4 linked regions of the Drosophila melanogaster genome follow. The protein of the gene in region 2 interacts with the protein of the main gene of each other region in a pairwise test. Each region holds a gene or a part of one and is shown on either strand. Other genes may lie near its edges. The genes, in order: Taf3, Trl, lolal and Bin1.

Region 1 (7,607 bases), on a different chromosome or scaffold from region 2:
ATTTTTTCGACTCCAGCTTCTTTGAGCTCGTACATTATGCGCAAAATGAGAAATCTGCGCACTGAAGTGTATTCGTGTTTTTGCTAGTGGTTGATTGATTTTTTGTGACCGTATGAATATTGAGGGTGCGTCGTCGTTGGAGCAAGCGTCGCAACGGCATGAAACAAACTCTTACAGACTCTGTGACTGAGTCTTAATGCTTAATATCAATATTCTAGTTTTCATTGTTCCCGAGATCACAGCGTTCAGATTGATAGTCAGACGGACTAACCAGTTACTCGATAACTGACCGACTGCATATGAAATCTTCAGTATATGTAAGGAAATACGATACCTATACACCTATTATGGTTAACATAGGTGTAAACGTGTATTCGTTGGGAATCAGATTATCCACCCTTACCTGATTCTTAAGAGTTTCGTCAATGTGAATGGTAGACGTCTTCCGAATCATGTCATGAGAATATTTAAAGTTAACGGGTCCTAAGATCCCGCTCTCTATGAAAAAATGTTTTGCTTTATCAATGCTCGAGTTCAATGGTTGCATTTTTTAGTTCTTATTAGATTAAAAAAGGAGTAAAACGTTGGTCAGATCAATGTTGATGGAGATCTTCTTACTCATTTATACTGAGTATTTCAATAACTAGCTGAAAAGTTTAAAGGATTTGAGCTTTAAGTAGAATAAAACTTTTTATTAGACTTACACATATACCCAACACATGCAAATGTTCATATAGTTGTTTTATTTGTTAATTTTTATATTTTACATTATTACAAATACAAAATATTAAGTGCCGAAGATCTGTCGCACGCTTCTTTGTGTGAATACTCGACTAGAACATATATGGGAAACAATACCTAACCCAATAAATGTCTTAAGATATAAGTTTCTTCTAAACTGATCGAAAATATAACTAGTATTCTATCAGTAGTTTTGTGTCATTATACATTATACCCTCTTTCCACTAAATTACCTGCATATATACACATGTTTGGGATATAGTTCACATGATATTTTTGAAGCGATTTTAGGCTTAATGTTATTTTATTAAATTTATATTTATATATATTATTTATATTTATAATTATATTATTATTTATTCGGTAATTTCATAGCTGTTCTGGGCATTACTTTCTTTCCACAATAAACATAACATTAGATGCTGTTAAAATTTGTAGTAAGTAATCGTAGTAATAATAGTAATAGTAGTAGTAAAACTAAAACATTTTTACGGGTAACAACACAAGACTCTCGTTTCACTCTGCATTCAAGCGCTCTATTATTAAACAAGCTCTAATTATATTTCCATCGTTCAATATCTATTTTAAAGAATAGAAGGATTAGAAAACTTTTTCGTCTTATTTTCAAAATTTGTGTCTTATTCGAACACTAACAGCGAACATACCGAAAGCAAACCTTTTATCTGCCCTTATAACCACTTTCAAACCACATAAAAAATTGCAGTTTGTTTATGTTGGTCAATCAATTGAATTTGATTGAACCCCATGATTACCACTTTTGGCATACCCCAAATATCGATATATTTCCCATCAAAGGCAAAATCGATAAGTTATCGTTAACTAAACATCCACAGATTGTAGTTCGTCTAATAAAGGTGTAGACACCAAGTCAATTAATTTTAATAACAAGAGGAAGTTCGTGGGACGGTTAAACCTATTCACAGCATTTCCAAGGTTTTCTAAAGAAGGTGTACCTCATGAAAGAACATGATGGCAGACAGATACGCTTCAGATTTGGCCCTTGTTGTCGTTGCGCAGATAACGCAAACTATTGGTTACAGCTGCACTCTAAGTGCACCCTTGGAGTTGTTGCAAGACATATTGCAGAAGTTTGTACAGGAGTTCGCTCGAGACATGCATAGACATATGGAACACGGTAAGTGGTATAGACCCTCAAATCAACGGAACCGATCATGAAATACAACAAAGCCTGAGTAGTTATAGTCGTTACTTGTAGAATAAGAGATTCAATAAAAAGTATGTGACATATATGTACATGTACATAAATGTATAACTTATCATCCCTGCAGTTCCATCAGACTATCATTAATAAATCATTATTTATCATTAAAACAATTTTGTTTGGAGTTAGGGCATTTTGCTTTCAGTTGCGTTAGAATACCGGTCAACCTGTCCGTTTAACCTTAAAGTAAAATATATTAGTATAATGTGTACAGAAATGTATTACGAAAAATGTACATCGCTTCTGCGAGTAGTACGTGTTGTTGCGTGTAAAATGAATCCATTGCCATTGGAATTTCCTGATTAAGCTCGCGCCTGCTACTCGCATAAATCTAGTCCCAGTTATCCGCGAAAAAGGAAGCGTGCCTCTTAGAAAAGTAATCTTTTAATTTATTTCTTTCTTTTATTGTTATTTCCCTTTTCCTCGCCCAGTCCCTTTCACCTACATCAGTATATAATTTCTCTAGTTCCGATGCGCATTAAAAATTTAAAGTTTCTTACGAAACTTATGTGCTCGGCGACTTAGAGCGTCAGCTTAGCATTCGGCTGGAAATAAAAGATCCATAATTTATTGCTGATTCCCTGCTTGTGGCTGTGCAGCCAAAGCAGTTGGTACTGTGGGCGAAACCGATGATCTTGGGATGTTTTTAAGGAGCGATGAATTGTGGGACTGCCGGGGTCTCGATTGGGGATTATGAAACCTCAATAGGCATGTAGATTGTATTTTTTGCAAATTATTATTTCATTAATTGTCTTGTAAACACCAAAAAAAAAAAAACAATAAATCTTTGATTTATATATATCTTAGATTAAGATATATCTTAGATTAAGATATATTTTAGATTAAGATATATCTTAGATTAAGATATATCTTCCTTGTAACCACCGGAACAGAAATAAAAATAAATAGTTGAGGAACTCGACTAAAGCGTTCTCTTATATTTTCTTTTTAATTTTGCTTGGTATGTTACTTAATAACGTTATTTATATGAGTTCAAAAAAATCTTATTAAAACCAAACAAAAAATCAAAAATGCTTTGTTTATTTGGATAAAATTTATAAAAATATTAATTGACAAGTATATATATTACTAATTTAGCAAATCGGATAGAGCCGAACCTTAAGGATGCACGCTTAAGTATAAAAAATCTCAGCATCAATGTTCAAGAACTATTGGACTACATAGGTAATGTCGAGCCTGTTGGATTCATCCGGGATGTACCACAGTTTCCCATTGGAAAATCTGTAAACATGAACTTCCTTAAGCCTGGAAGCGCTGAAACTCTAACGCGACCTGTCTACATATTTGAATACTTGCCACCAATGCAGGACCCCGAACTTCGTGAAATTCCAGCCGATGTTCAAAAGGAATTTTCGGAAAAGCAAGAGTTTTGTTCAAAAGCAGAGTATAGTTCAACAAACGCAGCTGATAAGTTAGGCGCCAAGCACATTGATTCTATCTCTCCTAATACTGTGATAAATTTCCGGTCGAATGCCTTTGAATTGGACGTTGGGAGCTCAGTCCGCGAAATGAGCAGCGTGGTAATGACAACAGGGGGATTCATAAGTCCAGCTATTGAAGGCAAGCTCCCCGAAGATATCATACCGGATATAGTTGGTACGACCTATCCTTATACCACAGCTTAATAAATTTTCATGTATCGGTGTTTATAGAAAAATTTTTAGGTTTGGATGCACCCTTTTCACCGACGATAATTGTAAATTCGTTACAAAAATCTCCACAACTGGCGCTTTCTGACAGAGACAAAACAGTAAATCCACGAAAAATCATTCCCTCAGAAACTAAAATCTTCAAACAAAATGCTGCATTATTGACAAGTGGACATTCAGAGTCTTCAATAATATATGCGTCTAACAACCATACGATGCTAACTGTTACAACACCTAAGAAGAATAGAAAACAGAAACATGATTTAATATGCGAACCCGGTCAAAGCGAACTTCTAACTAATCCGTTTGAAAAAGCTCAGGAAAAGTCACAGAGAAAAGCTTTAAAAATGTATAAACAAACCTCAAAGAACCAAAGAGACAGCTCAATTAATCAAATACAAAACATGAAAAAGTTAAAAAAAAAATTTAACCGCGGATCCTTCGATCCAAATAAAAAACATTTAGAAAAAATATTTAAGAAGCAGTCCAAACTTAAGCAAAATGATCTTCAACTGGACATCGACGAAAAACACTTTTTGCAGAATTCTCAAACTACGAGCGGCCTTGCCATAAAAGCTAACTCAAATGAAAATGCTTTACAAGCTGATATCCCTAGTCAGCCGCCAACAGTAACAAGCCAGATTGAAAATAATTTTCGAAATTCAATTTATCCAGTGCAGCCATCTGTAATTCAACAAACGCAAGTGCTATTGGCAGAAAAAAAAAGTGGATCAGAACCAGAACGAAGTAAATTGGACATTTTTAAGAAAATTTCTAAGCCACGTACTCCACGTCCAGATATTGGGGCGACTTTAGTACCTCCTGGAACCGGGGTATCTGTATTTGGAAGCACAATGACCCCTTCAGCATTAATTAGTCTTCCATCGGGGACTACTATAACTCCTACACCTTCACTTGGTCTAAATTCTGAAAACAAAAACGTTCCGAGTATGAAAATCAACCCTTGCAATATATTCGATGGAACTATACCTTTAACTAAAGCAGGCGTTGAAATGTCAATTATTGATTCGCCAAAGCCAAAAAAGCGAGGTCGCAAACCTGGAGGAAAAAATGTAATAAAACAAACAAATGTTGTATCGCAACCTTTAATTAATAAGGTCGAACGGAAAAAGTCAAGCCAAGCTATTACACTGCCTCTATCATCATCTCCAATGATAATAACCCAAAGTTCTTTAAACGTCTCCCCGCCAACAGAACCTCTCAACTTGTGTAATACCGAACAGCCCTCGAATAATTTTTTGTCAAACCTGTATGCAAAAGAAAAAAAGGACAGAAAAAAGTACAAATCATTACCAGAAAATGTAATGCAATTAGACAAGAGCTGTTCTCCTGAAAAGGCATCAACACTACATAATTCTATTCGACCCACAAAACAAAATAATGATGTACAATGTTCAGATAAATTTGTGACTATATCCAATGCTTTGTCAAATGCATCAATTTACCCTGGAATTCAAACAGGAATGGTTCCGTTGCTTCCTTTATTGCAATTTCCACCACGACCTGGTCTTATTCCTACTGGACCTGGGCTTTTTCCTGCAGTCACTGGTTTAGTTGGCTTCGGGAATCACGGTAACAGAATACCTATTTCGCCGTTCATAGATTATCCTGGACCAGAAGAATCAGTTGCGGATACTGTTCGATGTCCACCAATTAAGGATTCTCCTGGTACGTCAAATGAGTTATTTTTATACGCATTGCTCGTAGTATATATACGTAGTATATATTTTCGTGACCAGGATCAATAGCCGAGTGGATCTGATCCTGTCCTGTCCGTCCGTATGAACGTCGAGATCTCATGAACTATAAAAAGCTAGTAGGTTGAGATTAAGCATAAAGATTCTAGAGACATAAACCCAGCTGAAGTTTGTTGACCCAAACTTTACTTTACCATACCAGTTCGAGTATCACAGCTCGAAGAATATATTGCTTACATAAAAGTCTCGGCAATATCTTAATTCATTACAGCAAAAATACTAATCTGAAACTAATCATTGAACCGTTGAATGTAGAAAATAGGTATAGGTACACACTCAAGAAGTGGTATTGGGAAGCTTCTAGATGGGTTAGTATGAAATATTTGCGTTTGTCATAAACTAGATATTTGGAGGAGCTCAAATTTTTTTTTTATATTGACAATACGTACCTACCTACAATATGTGAATTATTTGTCGACCAAAATATTTAAATATTTATAATGATTAGAAAAAATAATTTTTAGTTACTGATTCTGATCAATTTCTGAGCCGATCTTCCACGCAAACTGACTTGCAAATGGATCGAAACTACTGCAATGTTGCTCCATTAGTACCTGACTCAATGAAATTCGCCGAGTGTAAGTTTAACGGTAAATATATTTGTAATTTAAAAATAACTTATTACTTATATCTGTAGGTAAAAGCGTATCTTGTGCCAGCACAATATTGGAAAACCCATCTGCACAGGCTACAAGCAAAATAAACACGAAACCGCTTTTGGAGGCTTCTGGAAATCCTGATGATCCAATAGAGGTTTCAGATGATTCAGATGAATCAATGCACAACAGGCAGATGGTTCAAAGAAAAACCCCAATATCATCACCAACTTATGTTAAAACCAGCTTCGCAGAACTAAATCCCTCCTCGTTTACGTCAGCTGCATCTAATGGTGAAGAAAAATCCAAAATGGATCTAAGGAATATTGTGTCTCTAAGCTCTAACGAACCACTTAAAAAATTTAAAAAACTTGTTAAACAGAGTTTTCCCGATGTAAAAAGCGTACCCCACACGCCAGCTTCACATTCATCATTTCCACAATTTAACTTGCCTAATTTTATGGGAGGTGACAAATTCAGTTTAGCTGGGGGAGCAGATCTTATTCCTCTGTCGAGAGTGAGTGATTCGGAATATTCCTCCAAAATAGTACCATTCAGTAGCTTAGGTGGAACCATACCGAATCAAATCAAAATTTCAGAAGAGCACAATATTTTTTCTACCTTTTCTAACTACGAAGATATTACAATAACACCAACTGGATTAACGTCGTTGGAACCGAAAATGCGGAAACATCACAAAAAGCTAAAAAAGGTTAAAGAAGGGAAAAATAAAAAAAAGAAAGAGAAAAAGGACAAATCAAAGAAAGCGGATCAGATTGGCTTACCATCTTTCAAATCCGACCGGAAAATAAAGGCCAATGATAAAAGGCAAAAAAAAGAAAAGAAAAAGGATAAAGATAAGCAGGTTTGTGTCAATTCTTTATTTATAAAAAAATAGGTGTTCGTGTTGTGGTATTTGGATCAGATATGTAGATACGCCGGAGCTGATAAGCAACCTTTGCGATAAGTACGTACACAAACTCATTTGAAAACAGCAAGTTATGTGGGAAACATTTTTAAAATCATGAATTCTGTGAACATATTCCGTATAATAACATTAAATTATGCATTATGCATTATACATTATACATTATGTTCCAAATTTGTATTAATACTTATATAGACTGTTGTGACTAATTATAACATCGAAGCCTACAGCTTGGTATAGGTACAAAAACATCTTAATCCTACATAAACATGTAAAGCAGCCAAATCTTTTAAAGTTATATTTTTAGTTCTTACAAATTTTATTTTAGTCTATACACATATCTCAGCAAAATCTTTTAAAGTTAAATTTATAGTTTAATCAATTCTTATTTTAGATTTTAGTCCATATACCAGATGACACAGAAGAATTTGACAAGGTGCCTTTAGCTAACAACGATGAACCTGTATTGAAATCAAGTTCCATGACAATAAATCCATCGTTAGGTGCCGCCACAAGTGGAATATCTCCAAATCAAATACCAAAACTAACACTAAAACTTAGTGGAAAATCTACATTATTTTCGTCTTCAGAAAAGGAGATGACAGATGCAGGGAAACTAAAGCAAACCACGATTTTGTCTTCAGAAAATAA
Region 2 (4,752 bases):
GGCGCGGTGGGGAAGGCCAGGCAAAAGTCGTGCCGCGCCGTTCGAATTTCAAACAGTCGAGCTGGCGCACGGTGGGACAAAAGCGTTGTTTAAAAGTTTTAATGTTTTAAAGTTTCATACATTTTAATAAAATACAAAAATTTAATTTGAAAATCTTTAACTAACGTACGGCCAAACGCACTATAAAAACTAGCCAATGGAAAAAATAGTCCAGTAACGCTTATACAATTTGTTTACAAAAACCAGTTATACAATGTATTCCAAAATTTTACATAGTAATTCTATTCCTACCACTTATGTTTTGTATCCCACTGTGCTTGGTTTGCACTCATTCCTCCACCTCTGCCGAGTCACCCACCACCAACACCCCCCAGCGCGCACGCTCTCCCTCATTCTCACATCATGCTCCGTTGGTTGGTATTGCCAGCTACGAAACATGAAACATGCTCACTGCTTTAACGCCGATTGGAACTTTAAAGGGGCATTTCGAACGGCATTTCTCATGGCCCCTTCCCTGCCCAGCAGCATCATAACAGAGAAAATTGTAATCTTAAAAATTTGGACACTCGCTCACTTTATATTACTTTCTTCTCTGAGCGTTGGCTAGAAGTGCCACTCTCCTTCTCCTTCAATTCCAAATTCGACTAACTTCCCTATCGCGGGGTCTCTCCGCTCTTAAGCTGGACTTGATCTGCATACGAGAATGAGACTGGCTATATGTTTTTACCCCGTAGGGTCTCGGTCTCTGAGATGTGTCAAAAGTAACAGGTGATTGGATTGGATTCGAAAGGAGAGAGGAGAGTTAGAGACAGGGGAAAGAGAATGTAGAGCGTAAGAGCGAACCGGCTTTTCTACCATTTGTTATTATTACTTTCACAGGATCTGTTAATATTTCGGAACCGAAGAGAAACCCAGTCCCGATACATGTCTATTTTAATCTAAACCTATCAGATTCTTTTGATTCCTGTGTAACCCTCAGTAGCATTACACTTGTTCCCAGAAAAATGGAATCTGGTATCTTAAAAAGAAAACTGAAAGTAATTTATTCTGAACCCAATACCCTTCTAGATTTTGGTGATCAAACATAATAAATTGTTAGATTAGGGACTCGTTCTACGAAAATCTGCTTATCGATTTAATCATAGCTAATGTTGGAATTTATTTTTAATACAATTGCTCGATACCTTAGCTAGAATAATTCAAAAACGTTCTGAATTGTTTATCCTTCATTTTTAAACTGTAAAATTTGAGCTTATTCAGAGTGGAGTAGTATAAGAAAATGTTGAATATTTTGATACCGGATCCGATAGTTATAGAACCGGAACCTACGGATCCCGTTGACCTTTTTCTTATCGCACTCTGATATTCCAACCGGTCGGACACATGTGTTTTTCATCCGTGAAGTCGGCCCAGAATATTTCCATCATTCAATATTTACCACCTTTTATAGTTTTGTTTACTATCTTGCCGACTTTTTTGTCTTGCCGTCTTGCTCTCCTCTCCATCCTAAAAATACTCTTCCTGCGCTCCATCTGGCAATGCCGCTCGACAACTGTACTTCAAAGAGCGTTGCCAGGCAGGTCACTTCTCTCATAGATACACAGATACAGGCGCGCACGCACACCAGCACGCAAAATAACCACCACCAGCAGTACAGAAATTACACATTTTCTCCCCGAGTAGAGAACTGAAAAACTGGCCGCGCTGGCAGCGCCGGAGCAGCGAAATTCGATCGAAACCATTTACTCAGTCTCAGTTCGAGTTATCCAACGTTGGCGAGCGGACAAACAAGCAGGAGAAAAAAGCGTACGGGCAAGAGAAAGAGAAGGCACAAAATCACCCACAGCCACTGAAATTTTCTTTTGCGCTCCGGTGAGAAGATAATTTCACAAACCAAAACCGAACCAACAAACAAAAAAAGTGCGCTCCGTGAGCGGGAAAACAATAACAAAATCAAGAGACATGCGATTATAAAACGAACAAAATAACTGAGTGACAAAAAAAAATTAAATGCGTGTCTCATGGCTTGACTGTACTGTGTATTAAAAAATGTGATTGTGTCGGCTGTCCGTCTGTCTGAGTTTGTGCGCGTGTGTGTGCTGTTGGCGTTTTTAAATGTGGCGCGCTATTTTTGTGTGATTTTTGTGGGCAGCAACGAATTTTGAAACATCAATTGTATACTAGTTGTCAGTCCCCTTGTGAAAAAGTCTTCTCCAACAACAAAATTCCTGTGAGCAGCCTACACACATGCGTTGTCTCGCTCTCGCGCGCTCTGGCCCCCAAAGAGTGCGAGAGCGGGAGAGTGAGACCGAGAAAGAGAGAGAGAGAGAGAGAGCTAATAACTAACGTCTGTACTCTTTTTCTTTTCCATTTTTCATTTCAGTTTCGAGAAAGCAGCGCGCCAAGCAGCAAGAAGAGGAAGAGCAAAGGGAGTTGGAAAAGCAGTGGCGTCGTGGAGGAGGAGTAGAAAGGGGATTTTTGCGAAAAATCCCAACTTGAAGAGAATTTTCCCCGTAACCGTTAAACATTAAATCGTCGTGTTGGAGACAAATAGCAGCGAATACGCTAGCAACGCTGGGGAGGAACAACAATTGTTGGATTTGGACGCGACCGCTTTGATGTCGCTGCCAATGAATTCGCTGTATTCGCTCACCTGGGGCGATTACGGCACCAGCCTCGTATCGGCAATCCAATTGTTGCGCTGCCATGGCGACCTCGTCGATTGCACGTTGGCCGCCGGCGGGCGGAGTTTTCCCGCCCACAAGATAGTCCTGTGCGCCGCCTCCCCCTTTCTGCTGGACTTGCTAAAGGTAAGTGCTCGGTTCGGAAACACTGCCTAAAACACCTTTCAATAAGAGAGCTTGTACATAACCTCAAACGTTTCGTACAGTTTGTAAACAGAGAAATCCAATCGCAGAAATAGGTTAATGTTTGGAGCGCAGAGAAACTGACACTCGCACGCAAATGCATACATATGTATAAATAACGCAGATTTACGCTCCGCTCCAAAAGTTGTCTAGAGATTTTTGTACAAGTTTTCCACTGTCAATTGAGTTGAATGAGTGGCTCCGCCCCCCGCATTCCCGCCGTCTATCTTGCTTATCAGCTTTTTCTTGTTGCAAAGTTCACCGGAGAACGAGAGAGTGAGACGTAGAGACAGAGCGCAGACAGAGAGGGAGAGAGCGAGAGAACCAGTTGGTTCGGTCGACAGAAAAGTGGTTTTGGGCCCGGTGGTGTAACAGAGAGGGGAGAGCCGAAAGCTGGTGCGCCAACTTTTAAATCGCATGTGTTAGAGCGAGCGCAAACGAGAGCGCCAAAAGCAGCGCGGCAACTGTTGTAGTTGTTGGATGGTTGGAGCTTTCGTCTTGCCTTTTGGTTCTTGCTGTTGTTGGGTGCACACGAGCGCGACCTCTTTCTTCACAGACAGAACTGTACAGTTGGCTCTGGCTAGGGGGAACTTGAAATATTGGGGGGAATATGGATACATATACAAAGATAATTAAAATTAAATTTGTATTGATTGGTTTGATTTCCTTAACCCATTTCCTAAGCTAAGTCTTTTGTATTTTGTATGTCACCATTTTAGATTGCTAGATTGATTGTCTAACAGCAAACTTCGCTCAATTAAAAGTTCCTGGACTTTAATAGACTTATCTACTTCAAATCTTTATTTAAACTTATAACATAGTGACCAAGTCCAGATTGTACCAAAGATAAGCAAGCCTGTCTGGTGCGCTTCCCTCGTATCGAATCCAACCCGTATTTCTATAAACTAAAGCATTTCATATTAGGAAGGCGCACTTTTAAATGGAGCTTGCAAGTTTTTTCATGAGCTGTATTGCGATACTGTACTTTTTAACAACTCATTTGCACTTTAACTTTGACGCTTTTCCGCCACTCTGTCGATTGTTCAAAGTGTGCGCTTAAGTATGAAAGTTGGACCGTCTTCAATGCGTGGCCCTATCGTAATGGAAATACTGACCAAAACAGAGCGCGGCCAGCGAAATGAAAACACCTGATGCGACGCCGACAGCGGCTACTCTGCGCTTCGCTCCCCCTTATTCTCAGCGCTCCTCATCTCTCCTCTCCTTTTCTGGGCCGTGAAAAAGTAAACAGAGCGAAATTTTTGAAAACGCCGCTCAGAGCCGTCGTGGGGAAATGTCAAAGAAAAAAAAAAAAAAACAAAAAGAACGGGACCAATGCGGCTGTGAACTCTGCAAGAGTCCGAAAAGTACAAGATGTACTGATCTCGTTACACTCACACACGCACGCAAAAACACATGGCGGTCGCTCTTTGTTGCTCTTGCTCCCTCTCCCTTGCTCCTACGGCAAATGGAATGCAACTCTGAAAAATCGATGAGCGAGACTTTGGTTGGAGGCAGAGTTCAAAGAGCGCAAATGGGAGTGCGGTGAGATGTGTCATTTCAAGAGATTGGCATTGGATGAAGGGAGGGTGTTGGTTGGTGAGTCCGTAAATGGAGAGGGGTTGTTTTCTGAGCAATGCTATATAATTAAATGTTTGGAGCGGGAGCGGGAGCGGGAGAGGACACAGAAGAAGAACAGCTAAGCGCTCTTTCTTTAAGCGCTGCTCTGTTTTCTTTTTCAGCATCTGAAATCTCAAAATCCTGCTGCAGAATGTGCAGAGCGCGCAAAAGTAAAAGCCGGTTGTCTTTTGTCTGTGTCACTGTGTGCGTGAGCGGAGGAGAGTGTGAGCGACGCGTCGCACCGCGAGTTTCCATTATTTCCATCTCC
Region 3 (6,072 bases), on a different chromosome or scaffold from region 2:
GTACATTTGGGAGGGAGACACGGGCAAGATACGCGCCGTTTATCGGGCGGACAGTGCCATCGTGAATTGCGTGCAGCCGCATCCGAGCATCTGCATGCTGGCCACCAGTGGCATTGACCATAACATTAAGATCTGGTCGCCGTGCGCCGCCAGCGCCGAGGAGCGACCCAATCTCGTGGCGGATGTGACGCGTTTCGTTGAGGATAACCAGGAGAAGATGCGCCTCGATCCATTCGAACTGCACACGCGCAATGCGTACTGTTTCAATAATTAGGAACTGTGGCTTATTGTGCATCTTGATCTATATTGGCTGCATGCATGTGCAACAGCAAGCGAGATCCAATCGGCAATATATCAAATATTAGTGTAATTTAAGCTAAGCGAACATATTTTTGTTAATTTGTAAACGAATTACTCTGTATACAAAGTACGAAGCTTATGAAGGATGTTATGAAAGACTATTAAAATAAATGCAGACATGCAAATCGACCGGTTTTCGAATCGTAATTTAATGAAAAGCTCAGGATGATTTGCATTTGTTTTTTTTTTTTTTTTGTTTTAATTATTCTGTTTATTTACCGTAGTTTCTTTAAATCTATGCTCACATGTATACATATACATACATATAAATATTTTACTTTATGTAATAATATTCAAGTATAGTTTTTACTCAAGTTGTATTTTTCATTCTAACGTATTTCCTTACTCTTTTGTTTAAACTGTGTAGAACTGCTAGCTTCGCACTGAAACACCTTTTCTTCGTTTTGTTATTAATACAATATATGTATGTATCTCGCGTATGATCAGAAGTTGGGGAAAAACGCGCTTGTCCACACACAATTAATTGAAGTACAATTTTGCATTTGTTTCTATTTTATTGTTTAAATATAGATGAAAATGAGTTTGTCTGTCTGGAGGCGTGGCATGTCTGGGGTTGTAGTTAGTGGCTTAAAAACTAACCGAATGTGTTGTAATATTCGCGCCCGTCGTGGCTTTTTCCATCTACTTGCACATTTCACACTATATTTATAATTATCTTTATATATTTTAAATGGATCTTCTTTAATTACTTTACAAAAGTGCGTTTTTTGTTTTGTTTCGTTTCGTTATGTTTTGTTTTGCTTTAGGGGCTGCTGTCCATATCGTTTTATTTATACAGAGTGGTTTGTATTGTTAATAATATATTACAAACTATTTTATGCAGAAATTAAACAAAAAGAATTCAAATCGAGTTCTGTGGGGTTGTCGGTAAGTGTTGTTTTTTTTTTTTTTGCAATTTGGTTGATCAGATGTGAATGAGCGGGTGTGGGAGTGGGCGGGCGGATTTGGCCTCCACCTCTACTTTACAGGCTAATCATTTCAATCTGTCCAGCTTTAGCTTTGTGTGGTCATTTGTTGGCGTTCTTCATCCTCCTCGTGCACTCTTATATGAATTTGTATACCAAATGTCGTTCTCGTAATGTTGTTTCTTTTGCCGCTGGTTGGAATTTTGTTTTCTTGCGTACATATAAGTTTCTTATAGTTGGTTGTTGTTATTTATTATGTATTTTTTGTTTCGATTATTGTTTAATACCATCAACCTTCCCGCTTTATCGAACTGGGTGTCTCTGCGAGGCCTTTCACTTTGAGGCGATCGGCGGTCTTAAGAAATGCTGGCAATTGTTCCTGGGACACGTTCACCTCACCGGCGTACATGAACTCCAGTATAGCCTGTAGGTGAATGTAGGAGACATCTTTCAGGATAATGATCGGATGCTTCGATGGGTTCTCCTGCGGGTGCATACATTACATTATCAAACGATTGCTTAGTTATTACCGCGTGAAAAACTCACCTCCAGTAGCGCTTTAAAGTAGGGACTGCAAGCGGAAAGCACCATTTTGTGGGCTTTGCAGGTTTGGCCCTCGCAGGCGAGTGTTACCTGTGAACAATAAGCATTGGGAAATCAGTAAGATCCGCCAGGCATTTTCACCGCAACAAATTGAACAAAAACGCAGAGCGAAGAACGAACACAGGTAAAAGAAAAACGAATTGAAAATAGCGTGAGGGCCAGGTATCTGCTACTCAGACCAACTGAGCTCAGCCGGTGACTGACCCTCCACAAGGGGCGGCCGCGAGCCAATCGGGCCAAGAGTAGCATAATAAACCTCAGCGCGCCCCTGGGACTGGTTAACTACAGTCGAACTTCTATGGCTTGATTTTGACTGAATTTATAAGTAACTTCAAAATATATTGACATCTAATATCATCATTCTAACTAATAGTTCGACTGCAATAGTTTTTCCATCGCCGCTTCTGGAAAGTTTCATTTGGTTACTCACATCTGTGAAGCTCTTCTCGTCGCGCAGGTGACGGAACGAGGTCACCATATTCGTTTGAAAATCGTTCCATTTTAGAAAGAACTGTTGATCCGACGACATCATGAAGAAGCTTTTGTTTTGTGGGGGCGTCGCGCTCGCTGAACAGAATGCTGGGAGGGGGGTGGGCAGGAGGCTTAATTTGGACTAGTGACCGAAAGGTTCACCGTTAGATGGTCTTAATTCGCAGCGGACCGCTTAATCCGTGGGTTTTCGCTTGGGTTTTCTTTGACGCACTCTGCAAGAGAAGTAAACAGACAGCATTAGTGAACGAACGGTAACGGCAAGGCAGAGTAAGACAAACAAACAACAGCTTGGCGAAATTAGCAGTGAACGTTACGAGAGCATTGCAAAACAGCACGTCTCTTGGCCAAAAGTATTCTGCAAATATAAATGTGCTGCGGCGCATGTGCAGCGTTTGTGCAGTGGGAAATGGGAGTTCGGAATGCACAGCGTTGTTACTCTGTACATGTGTGAGTGAGCTGGAAAATGTCAAAGTGCTGAGACAGCGCTAAATAAAAACAGCAAACAGCTGCCAGCAAAGGTTAAGCAAAGAGGCAAAAATATCAAATCGTCGCTGGCTCGCTCTGTTGAATGCCTTTCACTTTTCAAGGCAATTTCTGCATTTTCAGTCGTACACACATGTGTACTTATTGCTTATTTGAATTCGTATGCGGCACAGTGGCTTAGAACGCGGAATTAGTCTGTTGCACGCGATGCACGCTGCAGCTGCCGATGGCAATGTATTTTTAGGCGCACTCCAGTTAAATAGCATTCATTCCGTGATTTTTGACCAAAAAAGAACCAAGATGGCGGCACCATTCGCACTTCCATTCAGTGACTTTGTCTTAATTTCACTCCCACTCCATCCCACTGTGCGGCCAACATGTGTTTTTCTTCTTGAGGAAATAGCGTTGTTGTTGATGCGACTCTCATATGCGCTACACTGGCAGCCGGCTGTATGTTTCTGCGTGGGCGGGGGAGAGCAGGGCATATAGTTTGCCGCCAGAGCTTAAACTTTAGTCTCACGCTCTCTGTGTCCCTCGTTCTCTTTCGCTAAGCGCTCTCAACTTTCAACTGCCGTTATGATTTCGCAATTACATTACAACAACAACAACTTAAAAGGCAGAGCAGACATCGCTGGAAATTCAGCTGCATAAGTGTAAGTGTGTGGCTGTGTGCGAGTGTGGGTAGGCGGCGGCAACTATCTCGCTTGCTCTTGCGCCCGGGGTTATCGGTAGCTTCTTCTAGGCTGAGTGCATTTCGTTGAATCATGGATGTTGAAAGTTGTCTAATTTCCGAACTATTGATTTTTCCCCTTCCCCGTCAAGAAACTGCATTGTTGCTTCTTGAAGACCAGTTTTGGTAACATCAGGAGAATGGAAAGGAGCGAGTGAGTCGGTGAGTAAGTGAGTGAGCGATGCGAGCGACAAAATCAACAACAACAACAACAACAACGGTTCAAAACGAGTTCCAACGAAAGTTGCAACACTCTCAACAATTTGAGCAGCTCCGTTTGTTGTTATTGCATTACTCAATCGGGAAGAACTCTACACTCGACGGAATAGTGTGCTCGTCTGAGATTTATTCTATTTCAATTCTTTTCTTTTGTTTTTGGTCAGACAATGGCGTCGGCAAACGTTCGTGGAAAGCCGCAGGAACCACCAAAATGCCTGGCGTCACATTAACCGAGCCGCCTTTGTTTATGCAAATATTATTGTAATATTTGGTTAAAATTAGGTCGCGCTTCGCGTTACTTTTTATTTCATATACACGCAGCAGCAGCACGCATACAGTCACGTCACGCACACATACAATCGCCGTTCACATACACTTGTCTTTTTTCCACACACTTTCCTAATCATTTTATTTGTTGTGCGCTGCTGCTTTTTACTCGGCGTGTACTCTGTACTTTTACCAATGCGTATATCGCCTGCCGACCGCCGCAGGAGCACGCTAATTGCGCCGTGGACACGCTTTTTCTATATCTTTTTGTTTCAATTTTAATACATACACGCTTTTTTTTTGTCCCGCACTTAACTCACCTCTGCTTTCTCGCTAACGCTGCTTTCTTTTTTCTCTTTCACCGATTTCGATTTTCGATACACTCGTGATTGTTCGATATGAATCGGCCTAATTTCGATGCGTTTTGTTTTTTTCCAGTTAATGAACACAAATTAATGTACTGAAATATCTTTTATTCGATTTATAACACAAAAAGCATTGCTTGAATTGATGCTTGTTATTTTGTACGCCAAATAATATAACAATCGTTCAGATCTATCGGCTAGCAGCCCTGACTATGTAAATGGTTTCGTAGCAAACGGCTTTAGTCTGACACTGTGAGAATTCTTGTGGGCATTGCAAAATGTTTAAAACCACACGTTTATATAAAATTATAAATAAAAATGTGGTTATCACATGTTCGAGGCGGCAGAATACCGCCGCTGAAGTGGGACAGAGCTTTCGGCAGAGGGCGTGGCTGCTCGCCAGAGAGCGGTACAAGGATCATGAGCACGTTCATTACAGCTCTGTTCTGGAGACCAAAATAAAACCCTCTTTCTCGATTCCTGAGACACAACAGCATTTGCCCGACGACTGGATGGACGACTACGAGTTCTATCAGGGCGCCCAGGAGGGAGGGAATAAGCAGGGCACACCGGATCCTTCGTTACCCGCCTCAAAGGTTCCATGCAACGGCTGCGGCGCAGACCTTCATTGCACGAATGCCTCCCTGCCAGGCTATATACCAAGTGAAATATTCAGGGATAGGACGCAGCAGGAACTGCAAACGATCACCTGCAAGCGTTGTCACTTTCTGAACCACTACAACATCGCATTGGATGTGGTGGTGGCCCCATCGACCTATGTGGACACCATATCCCGCATTCAAGACAAATTTGCACTGGCTATTGTTCTGGTGGACCTTCTCGATTTTCCCTGCTCCATTTGGCCGGGCATGCAAAACATATTGGGCGCAAAGCGACCCGTCTTCCTGGTGGGCAACAAGGTCGATCTGCTGCCGCGCGACTCCAACATCTATCTTCAGCATATTAAGGATTCTCTGCAGCGCGAGTTCATCAAGCATGGCGGTGGAAATGGTCTAAATATCAAGAATGTCAGTTTGATATCCGCCAAAACGGGCTATGGCATCGAGGAGCTAATAACGCAGCTGCACAAAACGTGGGCCTACAAAGGCGATGTCTATCTGGTGGGCTGCACCAATGTGGGCAAGAGCTCGCTGTTCAACATTCTGCTTAACTCGGACTACTGCCGGCCGGAGGCCAGTGACCTGGTGCGCAAGGCCACCACCTGTCCGTGGCCGGGCACCACACTCAAACTGCTGCGGTTTCCAATCTTGCGTCCATCGAACGATCGAGTCTATCAGCGCTTTAAGAGATTGGTTTCGGAGCGCAGCGAGAAGGCGGAAATGGAAAAGGAGCGTCGCGCAGTGGCAAGGGAAACGGGTTCAGCGGCAGCTGCTCAACCAGTGGCTCCGGTTGGACGCACCTTCGATCGACGCGAAAATCTCCATGATGCCTTTGCCATGGCCGGTGGCTCGCGACCGATTACAACGCTAAACGATCGGGGCAAGGAGTACAAGGAAGCGCGTTGGGTCTACGACACACCGGGTGTGATGCAACCCGACCAAATATCTCCCCTGCTCACCGCCGAGGAGCTGGTAAAGCTGCAGCCCGCCACCATGATCCGACCGCG
Region 4 (5,869 bases), on a different chromosome or scaffold from region 2:
TACCATAACAGCTCATCCATCCCCGCCCACTACTTTTACAAATTGGATTGTTATCACTCAAAGTCCTTGGGCGATTCCGAGGAGTTTTCACTTGCCTCAGACTCAAACTGATTCGACCAGCCCCTTTGTTGTCGACTGTCACTCGCAACTGTGCGGCTCCAAGTGCAAATGTATCTGTGTATCTGTAGGTTTCTGTGTGCGCCCGTCTTGTCAGCGCTTTGACATGAAAATAGTTTGGGCCAACTTGGCTATGCAAAAGCGATTTCTATTAGGAGCCGCCATCGCCGACATGTGCTGCCGAAATTCGGTGATTTGGGTAGGATGAAGAGATTACCAAAAGTTTACAGTGGTTCTTGCTTCCAAGCAAGGAAGGAATTAAAATCCTGTTCAGCAAATATTCCAATAAATCGCTTTTAAGCAAGTGTTATCAGCAGTTCAATGTTGAGTTCAACCGGTTGAAACCCGCTGGTTATCGTAAATCATGGCCACGGTAGTTCCCTCGATTCGCTTCTTATCGCGACGACAGTCCCCACTGACGCACCAAATGGACGTATTTAGACTCCATAGATAACATTTGGCTATTGTTACTATGGTTAATTGAGACATTTACAACTCAAGTATACCTCAAGTCAAGCAGAACATACGTATGCGCGCATATACAGTCGAATGGAATCGACGTCGCTGCCAATCAGGCCGATGTGTTAAGTGAGTTAGGGGCACTTTTGCTTTTGGGACGTGACGTCAGTGCAAACTGCAGCTAGATCCAGTCAAGCCAATTGACGAAAGAGCCGACGGCAGCGGTCTGTACGTATTCAATTCATCAATTGGCAAAACCCTGGCAAAAAGGCAAGAAGATGGAAAACAAAACAAAAGCGAACGCAAACAGAAATAGCATAAAATGGACAACAGACGCGACAACACAGGCACCAATCGTAGGGGCAAAAATTATGAGTTGCTTTTATTTTAAAATCGTTTCATTTATTTTGCGTCAGCAGCGCCTCTCAATGAGGAAACGCTGCGTATACATAATTTTCTGGCCACATATACGCACTCCCATATCTTTCTCCCATCGATTCAGTGGTCGTTCGCAATCAAAGGCACAGACGAGTGATCTTTCCTTGGCCTTTTGCAGTCTCTTAAAGACGGGTTGTTTTCGAGTGTTTTTTGCAGCAGAATGGTAATCAGAATGCTCTCGGCAATTCTTTATTGAACGACCGTTCAATAAATTTCACAAAAGGAAATGTTATCAGCGGGTATTCTTAAAATAACTCAATCTTTAACAACTTATATTTGGAATCAATCACATCAACCCGTAATCAGATAACTGATAACATTTTAGAGGAAATAGTTTGTACCGGCACATTAACAAGTTAATGGTTTTGTTATTCGCCTTATCGTGAAATACTGTAAATAAATTTTTTAATTGCTTTTCGAAAGTAGTTGTTTACAACTTAATTTATCAGAGTGTTTTTGTTCTCCGCTCAGAATTAATCACGAAGTGGGGTGGTAATCCAGATTAACATAAGAAAAAAACAATTTTAAAATATAATATTAAGTCGCCATTATGCATGAGTAACAACTAACAAATTGCTATAAATAATAGGAGATAATCTTGAATACTGCTAGAAAGTGTAATACAATGTAAGGCAATTAAATGTGCAATAAAATCAATGTTATTATCAGCATGATTGTATATGTCGGAGCGCGACTCTTCGCATTCCAGAAATTCCTTCTGTGATTTCATATTCTGATGAAATTGTAATATTGCGGTAAAATTCTGTCGAGCGCTGCGGCAGAGGCACGAACAGCCTCTGCAGCTGAGTGAGGTCCGATCGAGTGGTCATAAATAGTGTGTTAGAGAGAGATGACAATGTGGCACACGCCAGTGTGTATAGCCATTAGAGAATATGATGAAGAAGGGACATGTAAGAAGATCCCTTCAGTGAAGTTTGACTGCTGACGTCGATCGGAACTTGCTGCGCTGACGTACAAAATCGCGAAGTGAATAAATAATATGGATGAGACTCCTGTTTCGCCGACATATACAATAGTGCTCAAGACCCTAATGGAATTATACGTTAATAACCAGCCACATTTCTTAGATATTTCTAATATGAGCCATCTGCTGCAGGTTCTTTCCAATATCTAATTCTAGATCTTCTTCGAATACGACCTTTTTGGCCATGAAACGATGATTTGCCACTTCATTCACAAGCATTAATTTGTCATGATTCTCTTAAGCGTGCACTTTATCTGAAAGTCTGAACAGCTGGCTGCGAAATGGATTCCCCGGATTGGAAATGGCAAGTAAATCTGTCCTCGCTACAAACAAGTGGGCACCACTGGGCATTCGGGGAATAGGGATATGGGTAGGAATGGGGATATATTGTGGCATTGGCGAAAGGTCGCTATGCAAAGCCAAGGTCGAGACTTACACCCAGGACATTGTGTTGTGCGGCTGGCAGTAGAAACGCCCACGCACACGCCCCTGTCAACTGGCCGGGTAAAAAATAGAATCAAATACATATGTATACAGAACAGGAGTTGAAGCAAAGCTCGCATTTTATTTGCATTTGTGAATTTATTGCTTTCGGTTACGTCTGCTTCGCCTTGCCACTTTTCCAAACTCGTTGTGCTGCTGCTTGGGGAATTTTCGGAAATTCGAAGTGATTGGGTTTGGAGCAGTAGCCAAGGGCTTCTACTGTTGCTCAAAGCAATTAATATTTGAGAAAAAATAACGAAAACGAAGTAAGGCGGCAGCAACAAAGCGACCGCAACAGTGGCAACAAATCGCCCCACACCGCACGTCTTCAGTTTACAACCAAGGACTTGGCACGTTTAAAATTCAGCCAGCAGCCGCAGCAACGAACACGGACAGTGGGCGGAATTTAATTTCGAAAAACATATTACTTTATTGTTCACATCTTTACCCACCTTCCGATTCGAGTACATACGATTCCACTGAAGCCACTGAAGACTTACTTCACTTAAAGTACATTTTCTTCAACTTCGTGGGGTCTTTCTAGAACTTAAGACTTATTCTAACTTAAAAAGACTATAAAGTTTTTAAACATTCCGTTGTTTTGTCAAATTTGAATAATTTACGAATGTGAATTTGTCGCAGAAGTATTGCTGAGTATTATCTTTATAAATTTTTCATTTTTTAAAGTGACTAAAGAAACAGCTTTAATGCGTCTTACTTCATATTGGTCATCCCGACCACAGTGCACTGGTTACCAAAGTATGCGATAACAATAACATCGTCCACTATGTGGTCGTTGCTGGGGTTACGGGCAGTCAGTCACGGTCACGGCTGCAACCCCTCCGCTCCGGCCAAAACGAGTCCACAGAACAATGGCCAAGGACGAAGGGGGGGGAGGGGGGATTCAATAACAACAGCAGGAACAACAAACATTCTGCTCCCACGCAAGAGCAGCAGGAACTGTGGCAAAAACAGCTGCTGCAGGATCAACGAGGTGGGAGTGGATTCGAGGACTTTAAAACACGAGCCAACTAAAAATATTCAGACACGCCGAAGCGAAAATACCCTTTAGCAGGGGGTTAATTCAAGTGGGGTATTTTCCCCTTCTAGTGTTTTTCTTTTACCAGGGTAATCACAGATTCTGTTTCTGTGCACTTAAACGGGGTTTATTCCGTTTCTAAAAATATCAAATGTCTGGATTGACTTATTTCTTGGTATTTGACTAAAAATAAAAACAAATATGCAGCTTTTGGGAAACTGATTCCTTGTTGACACAATAGAAACCACCATATGACCACACCTTCCACGCTACTGCAATAACTAGAACATTTAGAACAACAAACAGAATGGCACTATTATCGGCAAATGATGGCGCATGCATAAAAATGAGGAGATCGAAAGTGGGTGGCTGGGGATGGGATAACCTTGTACTTCTTGAGATAAAAACAGTTCAGTATTTAGCAGCGGCTTATTCCTGAATGTTTATAAACAAATCGAGCGAGAGAGCGATGCATAAATGAAATATGAGGGGGGGTGAAGGGTGGTTGCAAAGAGGGTGACTTTTCGCAGACGCTGCGGCACCAACACAAGCAAAGCAACGGCAACAATTTGCACGTAAAACTCAGCTGCTGCTGCTGCTGCTGTTGCCGTTACATAAGAAACTCTTGCAAAAAGTGCAAATCTCAATTCGGTATGCAAATGGACCGCTGCCACAATGTACTCACCGTTTTTAGAAACTATTCAGTGGCCAAATTGCGATTCTGCTTTTATGCGCCAATAACAAACGGCTCTTCTCCACCGTTGTTGTTGCTCTCCTCCTTGTTGTTGTGGTCGCAGCTACTGCTTAGCGAAGCAGTTGTTATTGTTGTTGCGGCAACAGTAATTTGCAAGTGCACCGCTATTGTTGAATGTTTTTAGACGATTGTCATGCCAGTGGAAGCTTCCAGTCTGCGTCATTCGCGGAGACGCGTAGTTTCACGTTCGACGACACAACCGCTCACAGCGAATTTTGTTTTCGGACTAGAGCTGAGAAACGGCGAATTTTGGTGCTTCTGGAAACATCGATTAAACTAAAACCCGATAAGTATGCGACAAGCGGTCACACTCGGCGATGTGCGATAGGATTGCTGCATTCGATTATATAGTTATCGAAAAGAGCAAAGAGAAGCCGGAATATACGGCATTAAAAGTGCATTTTGTATTAAAATTAAGAAAATTAGTAACGATATACCGCAGAATAGGGAGACATGGCCAACGTGGAATCTATGATTGTGGAGGAAAAGACGCAGGTCAAGCAGATTGACCGCGAGAAGGTTTGTTTGTGACCCCGGTCATGTTTACTTCGCGTTTGCTCTAGATGTGTTAATAAGTTTATGTATTTTCCAGACCTGTCCTATGCTGCTCCGTGTCTTCTGCTCTACGGGACGACACCACTCCGTGTCGGAGTATATGTTCGGCAACGTGCCCACCAACGAGCTTCAGATTTACACCTGGCAAGACGCCACCCTGCACGAACTGACCTCTCTGGTGCGAGACGTCAATCCGGACACCCGGAAGAAGGGCACCTACTTTGACTTTGCTGTCGTGTACCCCAACTTCCGGAGTAATCACTTCCAGATGCGCGAAATCGGAGTGACCTGCACGGGTCAAAAAGGAATCGATGATAATAAGACACTTGCTCAGGCCAAATTCAGCATTGGAGACTTTCTGGACATCTCGATTACTCCGCCCAACCGACTGCCGCCAACCGCCAGGCGCCAGCGTCCGTACTGATTCTTCACTTTCATCTATTCTAATCATTTTAATCTTTCACTTGACACTCAATGGAGTATGAACATAATTATAAGTGGAATACAAGTAAGACGAACTACGAGCTGCTTGACTTAAGGGACTATATGTTGTGGGGAGTATCAGTTCCTGTAAAAGCCGTTCGGGCGCTTCGACTTCTTCTTGCCCAACTGCGTCATGTCGATCTCCAGACCATTGGGCAGCACGGCGCGATTCTCTTCGTAGTTGACGAACCCGTTCTCTTGTAGCTCTTCCTCGTTGTTGCGGTTGTTAGGATCGCACTTGATTCCAGTCTCATAGTGGTACTCACGTTTGTTGCCATCTGGATCAACGTAGCCATAGGTTCCCCTGGTGAACGAGAAGTTTGGGTAAGTGGGAGAAAGAGGTTGGATTCAATCTGTTTTACTCACTTGGTGATGCAATCGGTGCCGATCAGCTCCTCCTTGAAAGATCCGTCGTCGTTCTCATAGCCCCATGTGATGCTTCCGTCCTCGTTTTCCTCACGCCACTTGCGAATGGTCTGGGAAACGGGCTGACGGCGACGCTGCTGCTGCTGGTCAACGTGATCGTCCTGTAGCTGATTTTGATCAATGATGGGAC

What was found.
Region 1: the proteins of Trl (region 2) and Taf3 interact in a two-hybrid assay, tested with the Drosophila melanogaster proteins (2 studies listed by BioGRID).
Region 3: the proteins of Trl (region 2) and lolal interact in binary tests that used the Drosophila melanogaster proteins (3 or more experiments, as listed by UniProt).
Region 4: the proteins of Trl (region 2) and Bin1 interact in binary tests that used the Drosophila melanogaster proteins (3 or more experiments, as listed by UniProt).

Annotation. Positions count from the first base shown.
Region 1 is NC_004353.4:460,791-468,397, reverse strand, and holds the start of Taf3 (TBP-associated factor 3), read left to right. Parts: upstream 1-1,569; 5' UTR 1,570-1,728; coding exon 1,729-1,897; intron 1,898-3,082; coding exon 3,083-3,601; intron 3,602-3,657; coding exon 3,658-5,343; intron 5,344-5,896; coding exon 5,897-6,010; intron 6,011-6,069; coding exon 6,070-6,893; intron 6,894-6,984; exon of another isoform or gene 6,985-7,350; coding exon 7,351-7,607. Other genes in the region: CG33941 (uncharacterized protein), read right to left, coding at 404-547.
Region 2 is NT_037436.4:14,754,962-14,759,713, reverse strand, and holds the start of Trl (Trithorax-like), read left to right. Parts: upstream 1-1,751; 5' UTR 1,752-1,872; exon of another isoform or gene 1,873-2,230; intron 2,231-2,377; exon of another isoform or gene 2,378-2,383; 5' UTR 2,384-2,618; coding exon 2,619-2,810; intron 2,811-4,752. UniProt on the Drosophila melanogaster protein: Transcriptional activator that functions by regulating chromatin structure. Overcomes the repressive effects of chromatin by promoting the open chromatin conformation in promoter gene regions, thereby allowing access to other transcription factors.
Region 3 is NT_033778.4:18,153,573-18,159,644, forward strand, and holds lolal (lola like), read right to left. Parts: upstream 4,447-6,072; 5' UTR 4,370-4,446; exon of another isoform or gene 4,188-4,369; intron 3,321-4,187; exon of another isoform or gene 3,175-3,320; intron 2,808-3,174; exon of another isoform or gene 2,594-2,807; 5' UTR 2,422-2,593; coding exon 2,320-2,421; intron 1,920-2,319; coding exon 1,833-1,919; intron 1,771-1,832; coding exon 1,576-1,770; 3' UTR 523-1,575; downstream 1-522. Other genes in the region: adp (adipose), read left to right, coding at 1-274; CG10914 (uncharacterized protein), read left to right, coding at 4,724-6,072. UniProt on the Drosophila melanogaster protein: Required, together with Trl, for maintaining the repressed state of target genes including homeotic genes Scr and Ubx. May also be involved in the activation of homeotic genes. Binds to a DNA Polycomb response element (PRE) at the bithorax complex.
Region 4 is NT_033777.3:16,185,637-16,191,505, reverse strand, and holds Bin1 (bicoid interacting protein 1), read left to right. Parts: upstream 1-1,941; 5' UTR 1,942-2,303; exon of another isoform or gene 2,304-4,399; 5' UTR 4,400-4,728; coding exon 4,729-4,794; intron 4,795-4,867; coding exon 4,868-5,254; 3' UTR 5,255-5,350; downstream 5,351-5,869. Other genes in the region: CG8927 (uncharacterized protein), read right to left, coding at 5,392-5,617, 5,680-5,869. UniProt on the Drosophila melanogaster protein: Involved in the tethering of the SIN3 complex to core histone proteins. Interacts with bicoid (bcd) to repress transcription of bicoid target genes in the anterior tip of the embryo; a process known as retraction.